5 linked regions of the Callithrix jacchus genome follow. The protein of the gene in region 2 interacts with the protein of the main gene of each other region in a pairwise test. Links are inferred from orthologs where the notes say so. Each region holds a gene or a part of one and is shown on either strand. Other genes may lie near its edges. The genes, in order: CRADD, APPL2, RAB22A, SUV39H2 and RAB5C.

Region 1 (4,309 bases), about 11 Mb from region 2:
CTCTAACTTTGTTAAAAACGTGCAAGTCAACTTTCAATTACTCTTTTTTTCAATGTTTAAGTTCAGTTCTCTGCTCCTTCATCTTTGTAAAACAGAGCCAAGGGAGGTTAAGAAAAAGCAAGTGTTTCTATATCATGTATTCTTCCTGCTATAAGCCAGGCTAACAGAACCAGAACTGTTTCTCTCTTCTCCAGCTTCTAATTCTCCTTCAGATCAAACTGAGACCCTCCCCAAACTATTGCTTTCCATAAAATTAAATACTCCAGTTGTCTGAACTAAGCTAAACTAAAAAGGACACTTTAAACGAATAACCTTTCAAAACAAACCAAGTCAGCCTTCAACATAATCCCCTTTGGCCACACAGGACAGCCCAGGGGACAGGTGCAGGACATGCCTTCCTAGAGGCTATCTCCTCCTCCATGAATCTGACCTTTTCCAGCTGGTAGCTCTGGCACCTCACAAATCAGTTGTCAGTAGGCCGAATGCCTGCTTTCCATCTGCGCTTTCCAAATGGCTCCTGATGCCAACGGCTGAGATATGACCTGGCTCTCTGATGGGAACATGCTTCCCAAGTGACATGCCAGGTTTCCCTGGAAGCATTTCTAAATGCATTCTCTGAGCCCCCCTCCTTCACCTCCCAGTCACGGTTCATTCTTCCTTCCCACCATTTCCTAATGCCACCTCTTGATCCTATGCCTCCAATATCATGTCCCTTCAGTCCCAACTCCTTACCCACTTTCATCAACTGCTGACCCTTGTCCTGCCTTACATCTCAACTTCAAATATGAAGGGCATAGTTCTGGCCAGGCATGGTGGATCATGCCTGTAATCCCAGCACTTTGGGAGCCTGCGGTGGGTGGATCACCTGAGGTCAGGAGTTCAAGATCAGCCTTGCCAACATAATGAAACCCCATTTCTACTAAAAATACAAAAATTGGCCCAGGCACAATGGCACATGCCTGTATTCCCAGCTACTTAGGAGGCTGAGGCATGAGAACTGCTTGAACCCAGGAAGTGGAGGTTGCCCTGAGCTGAGATCATGCCATTGCACTCCAGCCTAGGCAACAGAGCGAGACTGTCTCAAAAACAAACCAACCAACAAACACAAAACCAAAGGGCATAGTTCCAACGTTTTGGAGCTGCTTCGAAGTGATCTTTCTGAGCCCTACCTGCAGGCAGGCTGGTCATGGCTTCTTCCCTTGCCTTCTTCAGCTTCTCCCTGACCCAGGGAAATTCCTGTAGGGAATCTAGGAATGTATCGAATGCTTTAGGGCCCCTGGAAGGTAGGATGTCCAGCAGCAGCATTGTTTTCCGGAGGCCTGTGGTTTGAGCATTGATTTCTTGAACATGGTTTTCCGTCAAGACTCCTTCCTGGTAGAGGTACTGAAGAACCAGTCCCTCCACCAATACCTCTGCACCCAGCTCCAGGCGAAGTGAGCGGAGCACTTGTTTGTCTCTGGCCTCCATTTCTCCCTGGAAAAAGCCGAAATCACAGCTCAAATTACAGACATGAAATGTAAGTTCCTTCAGGTCAGGCATATCTTCAGACCGTAGCAGAGTGCCATATTTAATACACGGGTGAAGCCAAGTTAATTTTGAACGTTTCCTAACATAATGAACAACACCGAAAATGAATCATCTTTTCTGTTTCTGCTTTTAGCACAATGGGGTCCCGGCTCAATCAATAAAGAAATTTAGAAAAAGAAGAAAAAAAAAAGTGGGTCAGAGACCCTTCTGAAAAAGCACTTTTTATCTGAAGATCACAGAGCACCATTAGTTTTAACAAGCTGGGGAAGAAATGGTGTTTTTAACATTGCCCTCATCAGACCTGCACCACCACCATGGCAAAAACTGCCACACTGGACGCAGGTGCCCTTTTGACCGCAAGTATTTGCAAAACCTGATCAGTAATAGGAGTGCAGGACAGAAATCAGCAGCAGGTACAGAGTTTAAGGCTCTTTTTGCTTAAAGTCCTCTACACTATCACCCTCAAGAAAAAGGTTGTTTTGTGCCCAGTCTACAATAAAACTTACACAATATACAGTCACAAACTCCATTCCTTCCCACTAAGAATTCAGAATCTGTAGCACATTATCGTGGCCACACCTGCATGGGACATTTTATGGGATTTTTTTTTTCTTTAAAAAAAAGCTCACATCCAGCACTGGTCAGTAGTCAGGCACGAGTTGAAGGTGCAGTTCCACCACCGCTGCACCAGTGTGCTGTGGCTTGGTTGTGTGTAAGGCAGTGAAGAATAAATGACAGGGAAGGGAGGTAGGGATGACAGATGCGGCTTCAGACACCCCCAGGCAGTACTACTGCTGGGCGACACCCAATCCCACACTCCCCCTCGCAACCCTGTGAAGTTCGGGAGGTGACAGGTGAAGAAGGGAGGTGTTCACATTTGGCCGTGAGCGCCCATTGGTAACTTTTTAAAAAATTCTCGGCCTCGGCCGCTGAAACCCTTCTATCAACAGGAAGAACTATGGGCGGTTTCTGTGGCAACTCGACCCGCTAAAGAGGGAGTGCTGGGAATAAACTTAAGAGCTGACCAAGGGGAGAGCGGGCCTCCGGCACTGCCGCAGCCACCCAGCCTTGGCCCGGATCGGAAATGGGGAGCAAGTTGGGGGGCGGGGAAGCCCCCGCAGGCCCAGGTCGCAGATGCTACAGTGCAGGACTTTCAAGAAAAGATGGATTCCTGTTACTTACGTCTGCAACCACGTATCTTTGGGGCGGGGGAGAAAAACTGCAACCGGAATCCTGATTGTTAGGGAACCTGCATCGTAAGCACCATCTTTGTTAAAGGCGAAAACCTTAAACAGGAAGTGTTGACGCCATCTTTGTTGAGGGCAAGCACAGGAAGTGCCGTCGCCATTTTTATTGAGCGTTCGAGGGTCGGATTGAAGCTCTTCCCGCCATGTTTACTATGGGTAAACATTCAATCGCGGGGAGCTGGACAACAGTAGCATCACTTAGAGGATATCTAAGTAATGGAGTAATTGGATATTTGCATTTTAACACGGTAACTCCACCAGGGCCTTGCACACAATTGACATGCCAAAGAGTCAGGCCAAAAATCACCCTAGGAGGAAGCCTTCTCTGACCTATCTGATTAAAACGGCAACACCTCATCTCCTGCACTCCCCATTGTCTTAACCAACTTTACTTTTTACATATCACCATCTTACTAAAACTTTTCACTTATTTGTTTATCCCTCGGCTTCACTCCATTAAAAGGCAAGTTCATTGCTTTATATCGAGGGTTCCTGCCCAAGAAGAGCTTACAAATCTGTCGGTCAGGATTTCATTGCAGCACTCAGCTAGTTAGTTACTCCTAGTCAGAAAGGGATTTGTCAGTGGGGATTGGAGACATTAGAGATCATTGGAAAGGCTGGAGAAAGGCTGAATATCCACGGATGACTACCTGGAGAAGAGTGCCATACTGGTTCCTGCCCACAATCAGGAAGATGGCGTCAGGAAGTTGGCATTTCTTGTCCCCAGCTTCCTTTCAACACCCGACAGAACAATCAACAGGACACTGGAACACTGCTGCAAAACACCGTGGTCTCGACAGCTGCATTTGCTAGCAGCATGAAAACAGCACCTGCAAATCTTGCTCTGTTGTGTGCAATTGGTGAGACCAATTTCACATGCAGAATATTAGCAGCAAGGATGTCTAGAGCGTGTAGCTTTCCAGCTTGTGAAACAGGAAAAGGTATACTAAATGAGGGAAGGGCTGATACTAAAGGCCAATCTACTGCATCCACCACATTTTCAATTTGGAAAGCAAGACAAAATGCATGACCCAAATATAGAGAAACACAGGGATGTCAAATTGAGTGTCCTTCCTCACATTCCTTTGTGAAGTGGGCCAGTCAGTCAATAAATACATTCATTGATTCATTTTAAAATCAGTTGGATGATACAAATGGAAAGTCATGTGCTTACTAAAACTTAGTTGACAGTACAGGGGGAAAAACTCCTAAAATATTATTTCTGCCAAAGTTTTCACAGCTAAAACCTTTGGTGGAAAATGAAAATGTCTTTGTAAGCAAATCAATGGAGAACAGTTCTGAACCTCCCTCCTCAAAACCTTCTAAAATTGTATTCAATTTACAGTGTTACTATGCCAGTTACCATTTTACTACACCATTAATGACGGTATTTTTACTAAGTAGCGAGTATTACTACAGTCATTCATTGCATAACAACATTTGGGTCAATAACAGACTCCATATATGACAATGTTAAGAGCAATAGGCTATGCTCTATGGCCTAAGTATGTAGTAGGCTATACCATCTAGATTTG
Region 2 (2,842 bases):
TCCCAGGTGATCTCTGTCAATGCTGTGGGGCCTGTGATCATACTCTGAGGAGCAAGGCTTTAGAGCTTATGGTGAGTACTTATCATCTTAATCTGAAAGAAAGGAAATCTAGCCAACTAGTATATAAGCAAGAAAACAGATAAGCAGGAGCTCCAGCAGTGATAAGAAGTCCTCATGTGTTACCAATGAACATGGAAGGAACCAGTTGATCAAAAATGTCTGGTGGTTAGAATACTTAAAAGGAAATCCCAAAGTTGGCCACACTTGCCAGTGAACATCACCTTTCTTTTTGAAAAGACTCTTAGTATGTATACACAGATGCATTTTAAATAGCTACTAAACCAGCACCAGAATGCATCTTACCTTCTGAACCTCAATAATTTCTTTTCCCAAATTAATAGCATAACATATCTGCAAAAGAGAAAAGTGGTGATTGGCAAAGGTAGAAAAGGATAAAATTTTAGAACAAATGTGATTTGGGAGTACAGTGAGGTCACTGTACTCACTGTTCTCACATGGGAAACAAAGGACCTGGCTGCAGGAAGCCCATCACATAGGGCCCGGGCATTATCGTCCAACTGTCCTGACCTCTTGCCAATTTATGCCATATAAAAAATATTCCAGGTAAGTGAAACTTAGGTAATTCCAGTGTTTAAAATTCTTAATGGGAATTTTTTTTTTCCTCTCTTAAATGTATTTGGCCACTACATGTTCATATACACAGTGGCAAACAGATAACTTACTGAAATAAGTATTTGACAATTTTTTTTGAGACGGAGTCTTGCTCTGTCTCCAGGCTGGAATGCAGTGGTGCGATCTCGGCTCACTGCAACCTCCGACTCCCTGGTTCAAGTGATTCCCCTGCCTCAGCCTCCTGAGTAGCTAGGATTACAGGCACATGCCACCAAGGCCAGCTAATTTTTGTATTTTTAGTAGAGACAGGGTTTCACCATATTGGTCAGGATGGTCTCAATCTCCTGACCTCAAATTCTAAGTCACAGAATAGTCCAAGTTTTTTGTACTAAACAAACAGCTTATGTGTACTTTTCTGGTATCTCCTTCCTTGGTTTGCACCCTGGGACTAAATTATTCTCTATTGTAGCTTTTGCCTTAATTTTTTTTTGAAGTACAAATTTGAGGGGAACTGCTTTCAACATTTCCTTATATCCCGACTAAATAATATGTCTTGCCATTACAGTTCTTCCTCATTCACCCTATTCTGTTTGGTAGGTATTTTCCACAGAGAAATTTCAATCGAGTTAGTATTCTTTCAGTGGGGCCTTCTTAGGCGGTATTATCTGAACTCCTGGATGGAGACATGCAGAATAATCAAGCAAAGAGCCAAGGCTGTAATGCCAGAAGACTTAAAAAAATGGACTTCCAAGAACGTTAAGTTGCTGGCCTAAATAAATAAATAAATAATAAATAAAATGGACTTGTTTGGGATATTACAAAATCTTCACATGAAAAAGACCTTTTCGCCTTCTGAGTTGCTTTCGAAAATGTATGTACTCAGAGATTCTTCTCCGGTGGATTCAGGAACGCGGATGACAAAACCAACCAGTCTCTTATTTTCTTGATGAGCAGCAAACTGTGTGACACTGGTAAGTTCAAACTGGAAAAAAGAAAGGCAACAGATCATACAACTATTAGAATTAAAAACTGACAAAGTTACTCTACAGAAAAGTCGTGAGAAAAAGTATTCTACTAGTAGAAGATCTTTATTAAGTGCCTAGGCTGTGTTTAAGGTAGATACAAAGGTGAATTAAGGAATAATCACTAACATGAATCTGAATGAGGTACTTACATTGGCCCTTGATACTTGAGTCTGAGGATCTATCAACCTGAAATTTTAAAAGATACTTTATATCACAAATGTTGGATTAGTATTCCTAGAAGCGTTTGTAGAAGTCCAGAATAAAATAACACAAATTCCCCCAAATAAGAGAGGGAGATAAAGCCTGATTGAGGGTGAGGCGAGACAGCTCTGTGTGACGACATGTCCTCCTTTCTGCCTTTATGGAACCTGTATAGCCAAAGCTCGGGGTATCTATAATGAAAGATTACATAGTAAGTAGAAGATTTAAGTTCATAGGATTCTGGGACTTACCCAAAAAGGCATTGTAACTCTGAATAGATCTGCTATATAATACGGATTATATTATGTACAGCCTCCCTCTCAACAAACATCCATTGGCTACTTTAATGTCGCTGAAGTGCTAGATCAACTTAGTCCAAATTTACATTCTTAAAAAGATGGGGTAGGAGTGAGAGAATAGTGAAGGGATTCTGACAAAACTCTTATCATAGTTTGGGTATACGAGGAATAATGTTTAAGAAGGTATCCCGGTATCCCAGAATATATTTTTTCATTTTTTACTATTTATTTTGAGACAGTCTTGCTCTGTCACACAGGCCAGAGTGCAGTGGCACGATCTTGGCTCATTGCAACCTCCGCTTCCCGGGTTCAAGCGATTCTCCTGCCTCAGGCCTCCCGAGTAGCTGGGATTACAGGTGTGCACCACCACACCTGGCTAATTTTGTACTTTTAGCAGAGATGGGGTTTCCCCATGTTGACCAGGCTTGTCTCGAACTTCTGAACACAGGTGATGTTCCTGCTTCAGCCTCCCAAAGTGCTGGGATTATAGGTGTCAGCCCCCATGTGCAGCCTTCAGAATATATTTAACAGTATTTTAAGCATCTAATAATTCAGTTGATAAATCCTAAAAAACTGAGAATTTATTGCTATTTTAGATATGTAGACATAAATTTCTACTGTATTGTACTTGTGTTGGAATAATTAACATGGTATTTAAATTAATAAATATTAAATTATTACTAT
Region 3 (3,514 bases), on a different chromosome or scaffold from region 2:
CGGTAAGGGGGAAAACAGGCCTTACCTTTCACTTGCCTAGCATTATTTTTTGAGGGTTTTCTTACAGTGGAATTATATCTGCATTTCATTTCCCTTTAGTTTGTTCACTTTCAATCACCTTGGATGACTAACTGAAACACATTTAAATAGAGAAAGAAATGGACAGCTTTCATGATCTCTATGCCCTGTACATTATTTATTCAGTAGCAACATTCTTTCTAGAAGGGCAGCAGCTCTGCAGGAACTGTAACATGATATAAAAACTGGCCATCACTCTTACCTTCTCCAATCTCATTCCATTGAGCACAGTATCAGAGACTAGATTGCTCTAAGTAAGATGGGAATTCTAACCAGAAAGATCATTCTGTGTTAAGTTGCTTTTACAAAGGAAATGGATAAGGCACAGAGATACTCACTAATTTCTATAAAGAGTTCATTTATGTTTATCGCGTTTTTTGCGCTGGTCTCTACAAAAATTGCATGAATAGAGTCGGCGTAGTCCTTTGCATCTCTCTCCATGACTTCTCTGGAAGGCAACAACTGCATATCAGAAATTCTACCCATGAAGATCTTGGTTTTATCCCCACCTAGCCAGTAGTTAACCAGATTTATGATGACAAAGGATGTCCTGAATGACTGCCAAATGGGCCCTGAGATGTGGTCTTCCCAATTACACCACATCCACGGTTAAACAAAACAAAACAAAACCTGCTACCACTAGTAATGTAGCTAATGTAATGATTAGGGATGGCAGGGTTTTCTTCCCCAGCCAAAATTTTCAGAAAGCCCTTGCTCTGGGACTGATGGAAGTGGCCCAGAGAAACTGTCAATAAATGTGCTTTCTGCATTCAAGTATTCTAAGTTATGGGAGACTGGGGGCTGCTCTGATTTCAGACAATGTTGGGCGCAATGCAACCAGTGTTTCTGTAAATTGCACTCCTGTCTATATATATAATGAGCTTCAAATGCTTGAAATCTTAATTTTAGTTAGGAACTTCAGGACTCCAACCACATAACCAAAAGGAATTTTTCAATGTCAGAGATAAAAGCAAGATTCTTATACTGGATATTGCTCATTAAGAAAAGGAACACATAACAGGCATTGTAATCCTCATTCTAATAACTTACCTTACATCAATAAGATCACACTTATTTCCTGCAATGGCAACTACAATATTAGGTGGGCCATGCTGTCGAAGCTCTTTCACCCAATTCTTTAATGTTGAAAATGTCTCCTGTAACACAAAAAAGGAGAGCAACTGGAGATGTAAGCAACTAAAAGAGAGTTTTCAAAACTGTCTAAAGAAAACTATATAGTCTTACTTCTTTTGTGATATCATAAACGATTATAGCTGCGGCCGACCCTCGATAGTACATTGGTGCTAAGGCACGAAACTGCAGAGGAGGGGGAGAAATAAACAAAATTGGGGAAATTGGTTAAATATGCTTTTTACTAGACTTATAAGCCCATTATCCCTGCACAAAAGGTAATCTTTCTCTTAAGCCAAAGAAAATGACATGCTTTAAGGCAAACGAACCAGTAATTACCAAAGGCAAAAACTTTTAATGTAACACTGAATGTCTCTCAGAAGATAGTTTAGAATATAGTTTTATTGAAATTAAATATGGCACTATAAACAATTGTTTCAGCTAAAAACGCATTTTAATTGAACTCAATGTTATAATTCCCAAATTCATTTGTTCAATAGTCCTTTCAACTTTGGCTTCCCTAACTATCACGGAGATAAAAATAATGCTGTAAATAGTTCTCCAGAGAAGTGCCTGCATTTGGGTGTCATGAAGAAAACTCTGTAATCTAAACACTGATTGTCCTTCAGAAATGAGTACACATTTATGTTCACCAGTTACATGAGTTTGCGACTTGCTTTTTTGGTATCTCTATGTGTGGCAATTCCCAAATGCTGGGTGCAGATCTCATTTCATTTACATGAATTTAACCCTGTACACACAGCTTCTTCCCATTCATCACCCGAGCCTCTGCACCCCATGAGACACAACAGGGAGGAAAGAGAAAGGAGAGGAATAACCATTTAAACAACAAGCGTGACTTAGTGAGCTATTTCTCTTGATGAGTGTGAGATGGAGACTGTGAAGCTCTTTCCCCTGTCAACCTCAGTTCTTGGGCACACATCTGGTGTGAGCATCTCAGCTACTGAATTTGATGCCAATGTTGAATGACAAGAATTTCGCTTATACTTAATTTTCATCTTACATCCTGACTCTGAAGCCTGACTCTGACTTATGATCTGATGCCAATGTATTTGCATCCTGTTGTTAATGGTGGTTTACCCTGAACACAGGCAGGCATTATTACAGGGGGAGCATCTGGTGCATATACATAAACCACATACACACTGTGGATTCTGGAACTCCTTATTCACTGAGTTTAAGCTTTTGGCTTTTAAAGTTTCATATTAATTTGAGTTTTACAGAAGAAAGTGGAATTCTGACTGTAAGCTCCATGAGGGATGTCAGGGTGTCAGTATGTCTGCTGAGCACACCATTTTATCTCAGGGCCTAGCATCTAGCATGCTACAGGTTATCAAGAATTGGTGAACAAATGAGTAAGCACTGTGTGAGTGTGGGGAACTGTCAAACTAAGTGTCAGACCTTGCTGTCCATATACAGAAACTGTTACCAGTCTTTGTGAGAGAAACCCCTGCCTCTGGGATGAAAGCCTACTAACTTCCTTTTTGTTTTTTTTTGAGACGGAGTTTCGCTGTTGTTACCCAGACTGGAGTGCAATGGCACGATCTCGGCTCACCACAACCTCCGCCTTCTGGGTTCAAGCAATTCTCCTGCCTCACCCTCCCGAGTAGCTGGGATTACAGGCATGCGCCACCATGCCCAGCTAATTTTTGTATTTTTAGTAGAGACGTGGTTTCACCTCGTTGACCAGGATGGTCTCGATCTCTTGACCTCGTGATCCACCCGCCTCGGCCTCCCAAAGTGCTAGGATTATAGGCGTGAGCCACCACGCCCGGCCGAAAGCCTACTAACTTCCAATAAAGGAGACATTAAGTTTTAGAGAAAAGAAAACAAAAATAAAGATTATAAGCAAGAAAGCATCACAGAAAAGAAAACTATATTATTGAGTAAAAAACATATAAAGTGTTGGGTTGACTTCGACAATGTAAGAGAAAATGAAACAGAAGTGCACAGATGGAATAAAGGTTATAGTATTAGCTTTCATTTTTATGTACTTATATTGGCAATGCCCTTTACAGGGTTGTGTTTTCTTCCTTCAAATTTGTAAGGTAAAACTCAGAGAAAAGCAAAGATCTTAACAGTACAATCTGATAAACTAACAAATGTATATATCTGTGTGAATGCCATCTACTAAGATGTCAAATAGTTCCATCAATATGGAAAGTTCCTCAATATTCTTATCATGTCCTCCTTCCACCTTGTTTTCATGTCTATTTTATTGATATTATATAATCACATGGGTTTCTTTTGTTTATTATTTGCATACAATATCCTTTTCCATTCT
Region 4 (3,977 bases), on a different chromosome or scaffold from region 2:
TGAAGAAGAGTTTTTCTTACTCTTAAGGTTCTTTTTATGTTACAGAAAAATGAAATACTGAAGTCTGATTAGGTCTCTTGTAAGGGGCTAGATATTTGCCTTACCTTTACTACCTTGTAGTCACACAAGTATTCCACCTCATAATTGTTTAGATTCCTTTTGGTGATTCCAATGGATTTACATGTGAGCTTTTCTTTTCTACATAATTCCTGAAGAGTATCAAGTGAAACTAGGCAAGGCACACACCAAGCTACAATAAGAAAATAGAATTCTTTACTAATGAAATAGCTACTCAATTAAAACAAAAAAGAGAAACTTAAAACCTCTATTGCCCACCTTTCAACAGGAAATTTTAGACTAAAAATTCCTATGACAAGAATCCAATTACGTGTCTTCAAGAAAATGTTAAACATTAAGGAACTTTTGTTAAACTGGTGTTCTTGGGTTTTCTCATGGATTTCTATTCTACTATGTTTAACTGACATCAGGCAATTTCCATTAAGTTACCTGAAAAGGTTTCATATCCATAAGCTTTCTTAAGATTATATACAGATGCAGGTCAACAGAAGTAATGTTTTTTACTTGCACTGTATTCTACAAAGACTAGAATTACTATTTTAATAAAATGTAAATCTCTAGGACACATATTCTTAAAAACACACCTAAAATACTTTAAAACAGTCTTATAATTTGTTAACAGGTAACTTTCATTTTTTTTAACTGGACAATATGAACTGAAATCTAAAATATATTTCTACAGTTACAAACTCCTATCATTATATGCTAGTTTTCTCTTTGAAATGCTGCTTGACGTTTTAATTCCACTTATTTTACTCATACTGCAATAAATTGTCACCAAGGTGAATAAACTCAAGAGTTATTTTAAAAAAGGAGAGTATATCGATTTTTTTGTAATACTTACTGACTGTATTGTTTTTAAAGCCAAACTTTTAAAACACTGTTCAATTTACATAAGCCATGTACCAAACTCAAAGAAAATTAGACATAATCATCAGCAACCCTCCAAGAGCCAGAAACTAATTGTGTTGCAGAAGATGTGACCCCCATATTTCTGTAAGCAGCAAGCTACAACACCGAATTTAAAGTATAAATTAACAAACACGTTTAGGAAAATGGGACAAATTTGGTGTTAGCGCTAGTGTCATGGTAAGTGCTAGACAGGATCAAAAGTTCTCTGCCCTAATCCATCACTCGGCCACCGAGCTGTGACTTTAGTGAGGTCTCAATCTTTCTGGCTGTCAGATTCACTGGAAAAAAATGGAGAAAATTGGCGTTACGAAACAAAATCTATCAGTAAGCTCAAGCTTCACTTGGTAGCTCTCCAAGGTAGCTGGCATAACCTTTTGTGTTTTGAGGTAATTTCAGGGAAGTGAGAACACTTGTCAGAGGCAACTTTCCTGCCCCTTTCCTCATCTTCCCCACCTCACACAGACACTTCAGTGTCGGAAACCCTTAAGCATAATTTCCACCATCTCACTGGCTGCAAACGACTCAATCCTAAAGCAATAAAGAGAAAGGTATTTTCCCCCAGAAAATGTGGGGGAAGAGGCTGATTGCTTTGGAGTGGTCGTTTGGGGGTAGGACAGAGATGGGAGAGAAATGACCCAGTAAGTCCCTTCCACCTAAAACCAAAAACAAACAAAAAAACCAGACGATGTTTTGTGTAAAGTTGACCTCATTACGCAGATCGTAGGTTCAAAACACAATTCGCAACGGAAACGCTCTTTGGGAATTTTTTTTTTTTAAGTGAACATAAAAAACTGCAATCACGTGGTTAAAAAAACCCGACCGTCTCTCAACAGTCTCTAGGAAGGTAGAAAAAGATTTCATCGACAAAATTAAATAGTTCATGACCACCACAAACACGTTCCGCTACTTCAGTCACCACTGCCATTCTCCAAGGAAGAAAAATTCAGGGATAATGAGGTCATAACCCAAGCGGAGAGGAGGCGGGCTTGCAAACACCTTTACATTCCACAACGCACTGAAAAGTTCCAGGTTCTCGAAGCGCGCGCGACACCGACATCCCCCCACGCCCACACCCACACCCACACCCACGCGCGCTCGGTGCCCAATTCCCCAGCGTCCACAGAAATAACGCCAAGCTCCCGGTGGGTGGAAGAGTTACCGTAAACCAGAGGGTGCAACCTCAAATACCCACTTTCTGGGCGAATCTCCAACGAGGCACTCAACCTCCTAGCGTGTCCGCCTTGGGGGGGGGTTCCTCGCTTATTCCCTGTCTTAGCACACAGGCGCCCCGACTTCCTCTCCCCCTCTGATATTAAGGTCCTGTTCACCGCGGCGGGCGTCGCTTCCCGCCTCCCACTTCAAAGGCTGGGGCGCACGCCGCACGCCCCGCTCGAACCACCACAAAGGAGCCAGTCGTAGCCGGGACCCCCAGACCTCCAGCTGGGGACCGGCCGCGACGCCCAAAGCCGCCACAGGCGACGCAGAGGGGGCCAGACCGAGCGGGCGGCGAGGCCACGCTCCGCAGCCGGAGCGCCTCGGGCTCGCGAGGTGCCCACCTCCGCGGCGGAAGCCGGCGGGGCAGGGAGGCGGGTCAGCGGCCTGGGGGAGGATAGGCGCCCTCAGCATGCGTCCCGGAGTCGGGGGCGCGGCGGGCAGGTACCCGCCACATCACAGTCTGGCTGGCCCGCAGGACCGCCTCGCCGCCCGGGCCTCGGGAGCATGCCTGGGAATGGGGAGGGCGAGGGGGCCGCGCTCCAGCCTCACCTCCTCGCGCCTCAGCCCCGACCGCCGCCATCTTGTGGAGCTTTCATTCAAACTGGCGCGGTCTGACGGGATAGCTCAGCTGGCCCGACGCCCCGCCCCTGGCCGGCCCGCGCGGGACTTGGGGGCCGGGGTTTGGTGGGGGGGAGATGGAACCCGCACGGCGTCCTGACGTCAGGGAGGCTGACCCCCGCCCCCGCCGTGGCGGCCAGCGCGCCTGCGCCTCAAGCTCGTGGAGCAGGGCGGGGCGAGCGCGCGGGCTCCCTGACCCTGGGTGCTGTCCGGCGCCCTTTCCTTTCTCCCGGCCAGTTAGGCGCCTTCACGAGGGAGGACGTCAGTCAGGCCTTCCCGCGCTGCGCTTTGGAGACGTCTTACATCGGCAGCACGCGCACACTACGAGATCCGACAAGGACAGCGCGGACCTAGGCAATCGGGGACGCTGCCCGCCGAGTCCGGTTCCGCGGCCCGCAGCCCAGCCGATCATGGTCGGGTTCCCCCGACACCACTCCCCTAGAGCACCGGGCCTCGGAAGCGGCTGCTCGTGGGCATGGCTGGAGCGGTTCCGCTGGCTTGGTCCCGTCGCCGGGGTTCCGACTGGTTGGTGTGAGGTGTGGCCCGGGCAGCGAGTGCTGCCAGCTCCCAGCCGATCCTAATGTGTGGCACAGCGGAAACCAGCAGTCTCAAGCAGTGCTTCTCACACTTAAAGGGGCTTACGGATCGTCGGGGGTCAGGGAGCTGGACTTGGAATGTTTTGAGACAGGCTCTCACTCTGTCACCCAGCCTGGAGTGCAGTGGCGCAGTTACGGCTCACTGCGGTCTCGACCTCCTGGGCTCAACTTTAATGCACTGGGATTGGGTAGGTCTGTGAGGGGACCCGAGCTCCGGTGTTGTTAAGCTCCTGAGTTCGGCCTGCTGGCGGGTAGCGGCCGGGAGAAGGACGACTTCCACCTGGTCTCCACCCCCGCCCCCCGGTCTTGACGCCGCCTCCTATGATTGTTCTAAACAACCTAAAGCAGAAATCTTAGAGCAAATAGCGAAAACTGGCAGAAAGCCATTTGATATCTACTAAGGACTTAAAAAAATAATGTAAAAAATTACATAAACGTTTCAAAGCAGTATGTATAAATTCGAAATACTAGAAATAAACGCAGACCATTAAAGAAATGGATGATTTGATTCCATTATAAAATATTGTCTAGCCGTCTTAAAAAGATGTTCATGAAGCT
Region 5 (4,104 bases), on a different chromosome or scaffold from region 2:
GAAAAAAGTAACAAAAATTAAAAACAAGTGGGGAAACAAACCCCACTATTCCCAGGGTACCTGTGAGGAATATGTATGAAAATAACTTTGTAACTTTAAAATGATTTTTAAAAATTAGTGTTATTGCCCCTCTACAGTTTAACAGCCCACTAATCATGAGAGGCAAGAGGGCAGGAGAGGAACAGCATCAGAAAGGAGGGGTTTCTGTCACACACAGAGCCATAGCTTTCTGCCAAGCAGTCAGACCTCTGCTTGGACTATAATTTCTGGATGCCAGAAGCAGCTGCATTCTCTCCCAAAGCACTGGGGCCTTCCTCGTCTGTCTAAATGGCCGAGCTTCCCCTTCAAAAGTCATTTCAGGCCGGGTGCAGTGGCTCACACCTGTCATCCCGGGACTTTGGGAGGCTGAGGCGAGTGGATCACCTGAGGTCAGGAATTCGAGACCAGCCTGGCGAATATGGCGAAACCCCATCTCTACTAAAAATACAAAAATTAGCCTGGCGTGGTGGCACGCTCCTGTAGTCCCAGCTACTTGGGAGGCTCAGGCAGGAGAAGCCCTTGAACTCAGGAGGTGGAGGTTGCAGTGAGCAGAGATCATGCCACCACGCTCCAGCCTCGGTGACAGAGCAAGACTCCATCTCAAAAGAAAAACAAACCAAAAAAAATTGTTTCAGAGTCAGAGCTGGAAGAGCATGTCCAGACAAAGGAAAAAAGGTCTCCTCAGAAGGCTGGTCAGTCTCATCCCAGGACTCCTGAAGACTGACAAACCATGGTCCACTCCTGAAGACGTAAGTCTGGTCAGAGACCAATGGCCAGTGAGCAGTCAGGCCTCTCTGACCCTGCCCCTCAGATGCCCAGGCTGCCCAGATCAGAAAAACTAGATTGGCTGAAGAAGTCTCCAATGAGCCCCCAAGGAACCCACACAGATAAAGAGCTTGTGATCCAGCTGTTGACCCTAATAAGGAAGGCTTCTGTTGTCCAATAAAAAGTGAAATAAGTAGGCTGGGTGCGGTGGCTCACACCTGTACTCCCAGCACTTTTGGAGGCCAAGGCAGGCGGATCATGAGGTCAGGAGTTCAAGACCAGTCTGGCCAACATGGTGAAACCCTGTCTCTACTAAAAATACAAAGTTAGCCGGTATGATGGCATGCGCCTGTAATCCCAGCTACTCGGGAGGCTGAGGCAGAGATTTGCTTAAACCTGGGAAGTGGAGGTTGCAGTGAGCTGAGATGGGGCCAATGCACTCCAGCAGGGGGGAAGTGGGGGCGCTGGGGGAAGGTGAAATAAGTCCTAGGTCTACTCACAAGACTGGAGAAATCAGACACTAGTGACTGTCCAGAAGTACTCAAAAACACCTCAATACCAAAAAACAGCACTTTTAAGCAGCACGAGAGGGTGGTAAAGGTAGCTCAGAAAACTGAAGAGCTACAGACATTCCCACTATCTATCCCACTTGCTATCTACATATCCACTGTAGATAGCAAGGGTCAGTCACGGCCTCAGAGACAGGCTACTCCTCATTAAGGTACAGTCTCGGGCCTGTACTTTGGCCACATAACAAAGCTTGGTCAGAGACAGCAGCTATTTCACACACCTAAGCCCCAAGCAACAGTCCATACGGTTGAGGGAACCAGCATTTTCTGGCATGTGTGGGAATTCTTCAGGCTACAATTCAGACCCCAGAACTGCCAGTGGGATCTTGACTTAGTCCTCAGTAATAAGTCCAAGCCCAGAAGGGATTAGATACCAGCGCGGTGTGGACCTGTTGCTCAGGGTGGTTTATGTGTGTGTGTCTGGAAGTGGGAAAGAGATAATTCTTCAACTCCAGACTCCTCATTTTGGGTCTTATTCTCCTGCCTATAGACACACGGACAGCAGTCCCGGGAGAAGCAGTCCCTTTGAGGAGGCTTGAAAACTACTCACGTGCTCTGGGAGGACAGAGCTGAGCCTGGAGCAAGGGGGGAGGGGAGAGAAGATAATGAATGGGCATATCCACCCTGATCTGTGATCTGTAGCTAGGATTGAGCAAACCTCAGCTAAATTCTTCAGGGGCAGAAAGAGAGAGACACTCAGAGAACAACATAACTAGAGAATAGGGCAGGGAGACAGAAGGGGCAAAGCAAGAAAACATCTCATTCCTACTAAATGACCCAGACTTTTAACTGAGGTCCTGGTTGGTTTTCTGGCTTGAGGAAAGAGGGAAGTAAGGAGTTGTGGAAGCGCAAATACACTTCTGTGCGTGTGGAACGGTCTCACCCAGACGACCCCCTCCCCCATAGGAAATCGACATATTCCTCTAGGGCTGGAGGGGACAACTGGTTTCGTGGGACAGGAGGAAGGAAAACGGCGACAGACAGCACTCCCTGTCACTTCTAAAAGACAAGAAGGACAGGTTCCTTCACACCTGGCAAAGATCCTTCGATTCTGGGAGCAAGGCGAGCGGAACTTAGGGTTCCTCTCTCCCACAACTGGAATGGACAGGCCAGAGAACAGTCATAGGAGTTTCCTTAAGGCTCACGAAAGGCAGGTAAGCTAAAGAAAGAAGCTCCCCCGCTCCTTTGGCCCGACGCCTGGGGAACCCCTTAGGAGGAGGCTACGGGTCGGGGGAGGGGTCATTATCCCCCTAAACGGGCTGGGTGGTGAGTAAGGGCTGCCCTGGAGATGCTTCAACGCAGGCGAGACACCAGGTTCGGGGACAGGCATACTCACGGCGGCTCCGGGACGGCAGCGTTACTTGGGGCCGGGACTCGGACAGGCTTCGCTTCTCTCCCCCCCCCCCGGCGGTGTCCCAGGCTCCGGCCTCCACTTCCGCCTTTCAGCCGCTCCGGATCCGGATCTCCACCTCCGTCCCGCCCCTCAATACTACCCAGGTGATTGACAGGGTAGAGGGACTAATGGAAGGCACTCTTGGCCGACCTATCCAGCGGCTCCGGTAGAAACGCGGGAGTGGTTGGAGGGCGCGCGCGAAGGATGGCGGGACTTGTAGTTCGCAGCGCTGGGAGGAGTTGGCGGCTGCCTGGGATTTGGGCTTAGGGTGGAGCCGGCTGACTGCGAGGCGGAGCCCGGCCGGGAATTATTATTTTTTTGTGAGGAGTCTCAGTCTGTCTCCCAGGCTGGAATGCAGTGGCGCGATCTCGGCTCACTGCAACCTCCGCCTCCCGGGTTCAAGCGATTCTCCTGCCTCAGCCTCCCGAGTAGCTGGGATTAAAGTCATGCACCACCACGCTCGGCTAATTTTGTATGTTTTGTAGAGACGGGGTTTCACCATCTTGGCCAGACTGGTCTTGAACTCCCAACCTCGGGTGATCCGCCTTCTTCGGCCTCCCAAAGTGCTGAGATTACAGGCCAGAGCCACCGTGCCCGGCCTACGGCCGGGAACTTTTTAAGGCCAAGCCTGCCACCCGCGTCACCGCCGGTTCCGGACGCCCGAGGGAAGGCGAGTGGCGGAGAGTTGGAAGAAGGCAGAGGACTGTGTGTGCAGAATTGGAAAAGGAAAAACATGGTGCGAATGAATATGCACGCGAGGCTGCGTGGACCAGTCCTGTGAACTCGCTGATCTGGAGCAGCCCCTGTCTGCGCTTTCCGGCCAAGTCAGCTTGGGAAGCCCGATTGCTGGGGGCCTCTGTGATGGGGAAGGCGATGAAAGCGATGAAAGGCTGTAGGAAAGGTTCTCTGCAGGATGCTGAGTGAGATCAAAGGGAGAGCTTCTGCCACCACCCCCTACTTGGTGTGTCGGGGGGGGGGCCGGCGCAAAGACCATCTCCGCCTCTGCCTTCCCCTGCTCCCAGCCAGGGTCAGCTCTTCTCTCTGACGCGGAATGTAGAGCTGGATAACCTCTGGCTCGGACCTCTCCATCTGAAAATAAAGACTAGAACCACCCCCACTCTGCCCCTCCCCATATGGATCAGGACTATTTGTTTCTTCTGCTCCTCTGAATATGGATCCGGCCAGCTCCTGATTCCGCCCACCCTTACCTCTCAACACAGACTAGTACCTCCTCTTCCTTTGCATGTTACCCTCCAGGGACACTACTGAAAACCTGTGTAGAATCAAAGCTCACTGGAGACAGCTGTGACCATTGTGCCTCTAGTACTGGCCAACACC

What was found.
Region 1: the proteins of APPL2 (region 2) and CRADD interact in binary tests that used the Homo sapiens proteins (3 or more experiments, as listed by UniProt). The two-hybrid records come from large-scale screens. The link is inferred for Callithrix jacchus from reciprocal best matches to the Homo sapiens genes APPL2 and CRADD.
Region 3: the proteins of APPL2 (region 2) and RAB22A interact in binary tests that used the Homo sapiens proteins (3 or more experiments, as listed by UniProt). The two-hybrid records come from large-scale screens. The link is inferred for Callithrix jacchus from reciprocal best matches to the Homo sapiens genes APPL2 and RAB22A.
Region 4: the proteins of APPL2 (region 2) and SUV39H2 interact in binary tests that used the Homo sapiens proteins (3 or more experiments, as listed by UniProt). The link is inferred for Callithrix jacchus from reciprocal best matches to the Homo sapiens genes APPL2 and SUV39H2.
Region 5: the proteins of APPL2 (region 2) and RAB5C interact in binary tests that used the Homo sapiens proteins (3 or more experiments, as listed by UniProt). The two-hybrid records come from large-scale screens. The link is inferred for Callithrix jacchus from reciprocal best matches to the Homo sapiens genes APPL2 and RAB5C.

Annotation. Positions count from the first base shown.
Region 1 is NC_133510.1:96,740,128-96,744,436, reverse strand, and holds the start of CRADD (death domain-containing protein CRADD), read right to left. Parts: upstream 2,808-4,309; 5' UTR 2,553-2,807; intron 2,318-2,552; exon of another isoform or gene 2,157-2,317; intron 1,474-2,156; 5' UTR 1,468-1,473; coding exon 1,170-1,467; intron 1-1,169. UniProt on the Homo sapiens protein: Adapter protein that associates with PIDD1 and the caspase CASP2 to form the PIDDosome, a complex that activates CASP2 and triggers apoptosis.
Region 2 is NC_133510.1:108,124,423-108,127,264, forward strand, and holds part of APPL2 (DCC-interacting protein 13-beta), read right to left. Parts: intron 1,845-2,842; coding exon 1,808-1,844; intron 1,616-1,807; coding exon 1,475-1,615; intron 412-1,474; coding exon 364-411; intron 1-363. UniProt on the Homo sapiens protein: Multifunctional adapter protein that binds to various membrane receptors, nuclear factors and signaling proteins to regulate many processes, such as cell proliferation, immune response, endosomal trafficking and cell metabolism.
Region 3 is NC_133506.1:53,939,664-53,943,177, reverse strand, and holds part of RAB22A (ras-related protein Rab-22A), read right to left. Parts: intron 1,396-3,514; coding exon 1,324-1,395; intron 1,236-1,323; coding exon 1,129-1,235; intron 527-1,128; coding exon 417-526; intron 1-416. UniProt on the Homo sapiens protein: Plays a role in endocytosis and intracellular protein transport. Mediates trafficking of TF from early endosomes to recycling endosomes. Required for NGF-mediated endocytosis of NTRK1, and subsequent neurite outgrowth.
Region 4 is NC_133508.1:15,823,571-15,827,547, reverse strand, and holds the start of SUV39H2 (histone-lysine N-methyltransferase SUV39H2), read right to left. Parts: upstream 2,809-3,977; 5' UTR 2,786-2,808; coding exon 2,755-2,785; exon of another isoform or gene 2,183-2,754; intron 251-2,182; coding exon 105-250; intron 1-104. UniProt on the Homo sapiens protein: Histone methyltransferase that specifically trimethylates 'Lys-9' of histone H3 using monomethylated H3 'Lys-9' as substrate.
Region 5 is NC_133506.1:121,574,359-121,578,462, forward strand, and holds the start of RAB5C (ras-related protein Rab-5C), read right to left. Parts: upstream 2,811-4,104; 5' UTR 2,710-2,810; intron 2,528-2,709; exon of another isoform or gene 2,068-2,527; intron 1-2,067. UniProt on the Homo sapiens protein: The small GTPases Rab are key regulators of intracellular membrane trafficking, from the formation of transport vesicles to their fusion with membranes.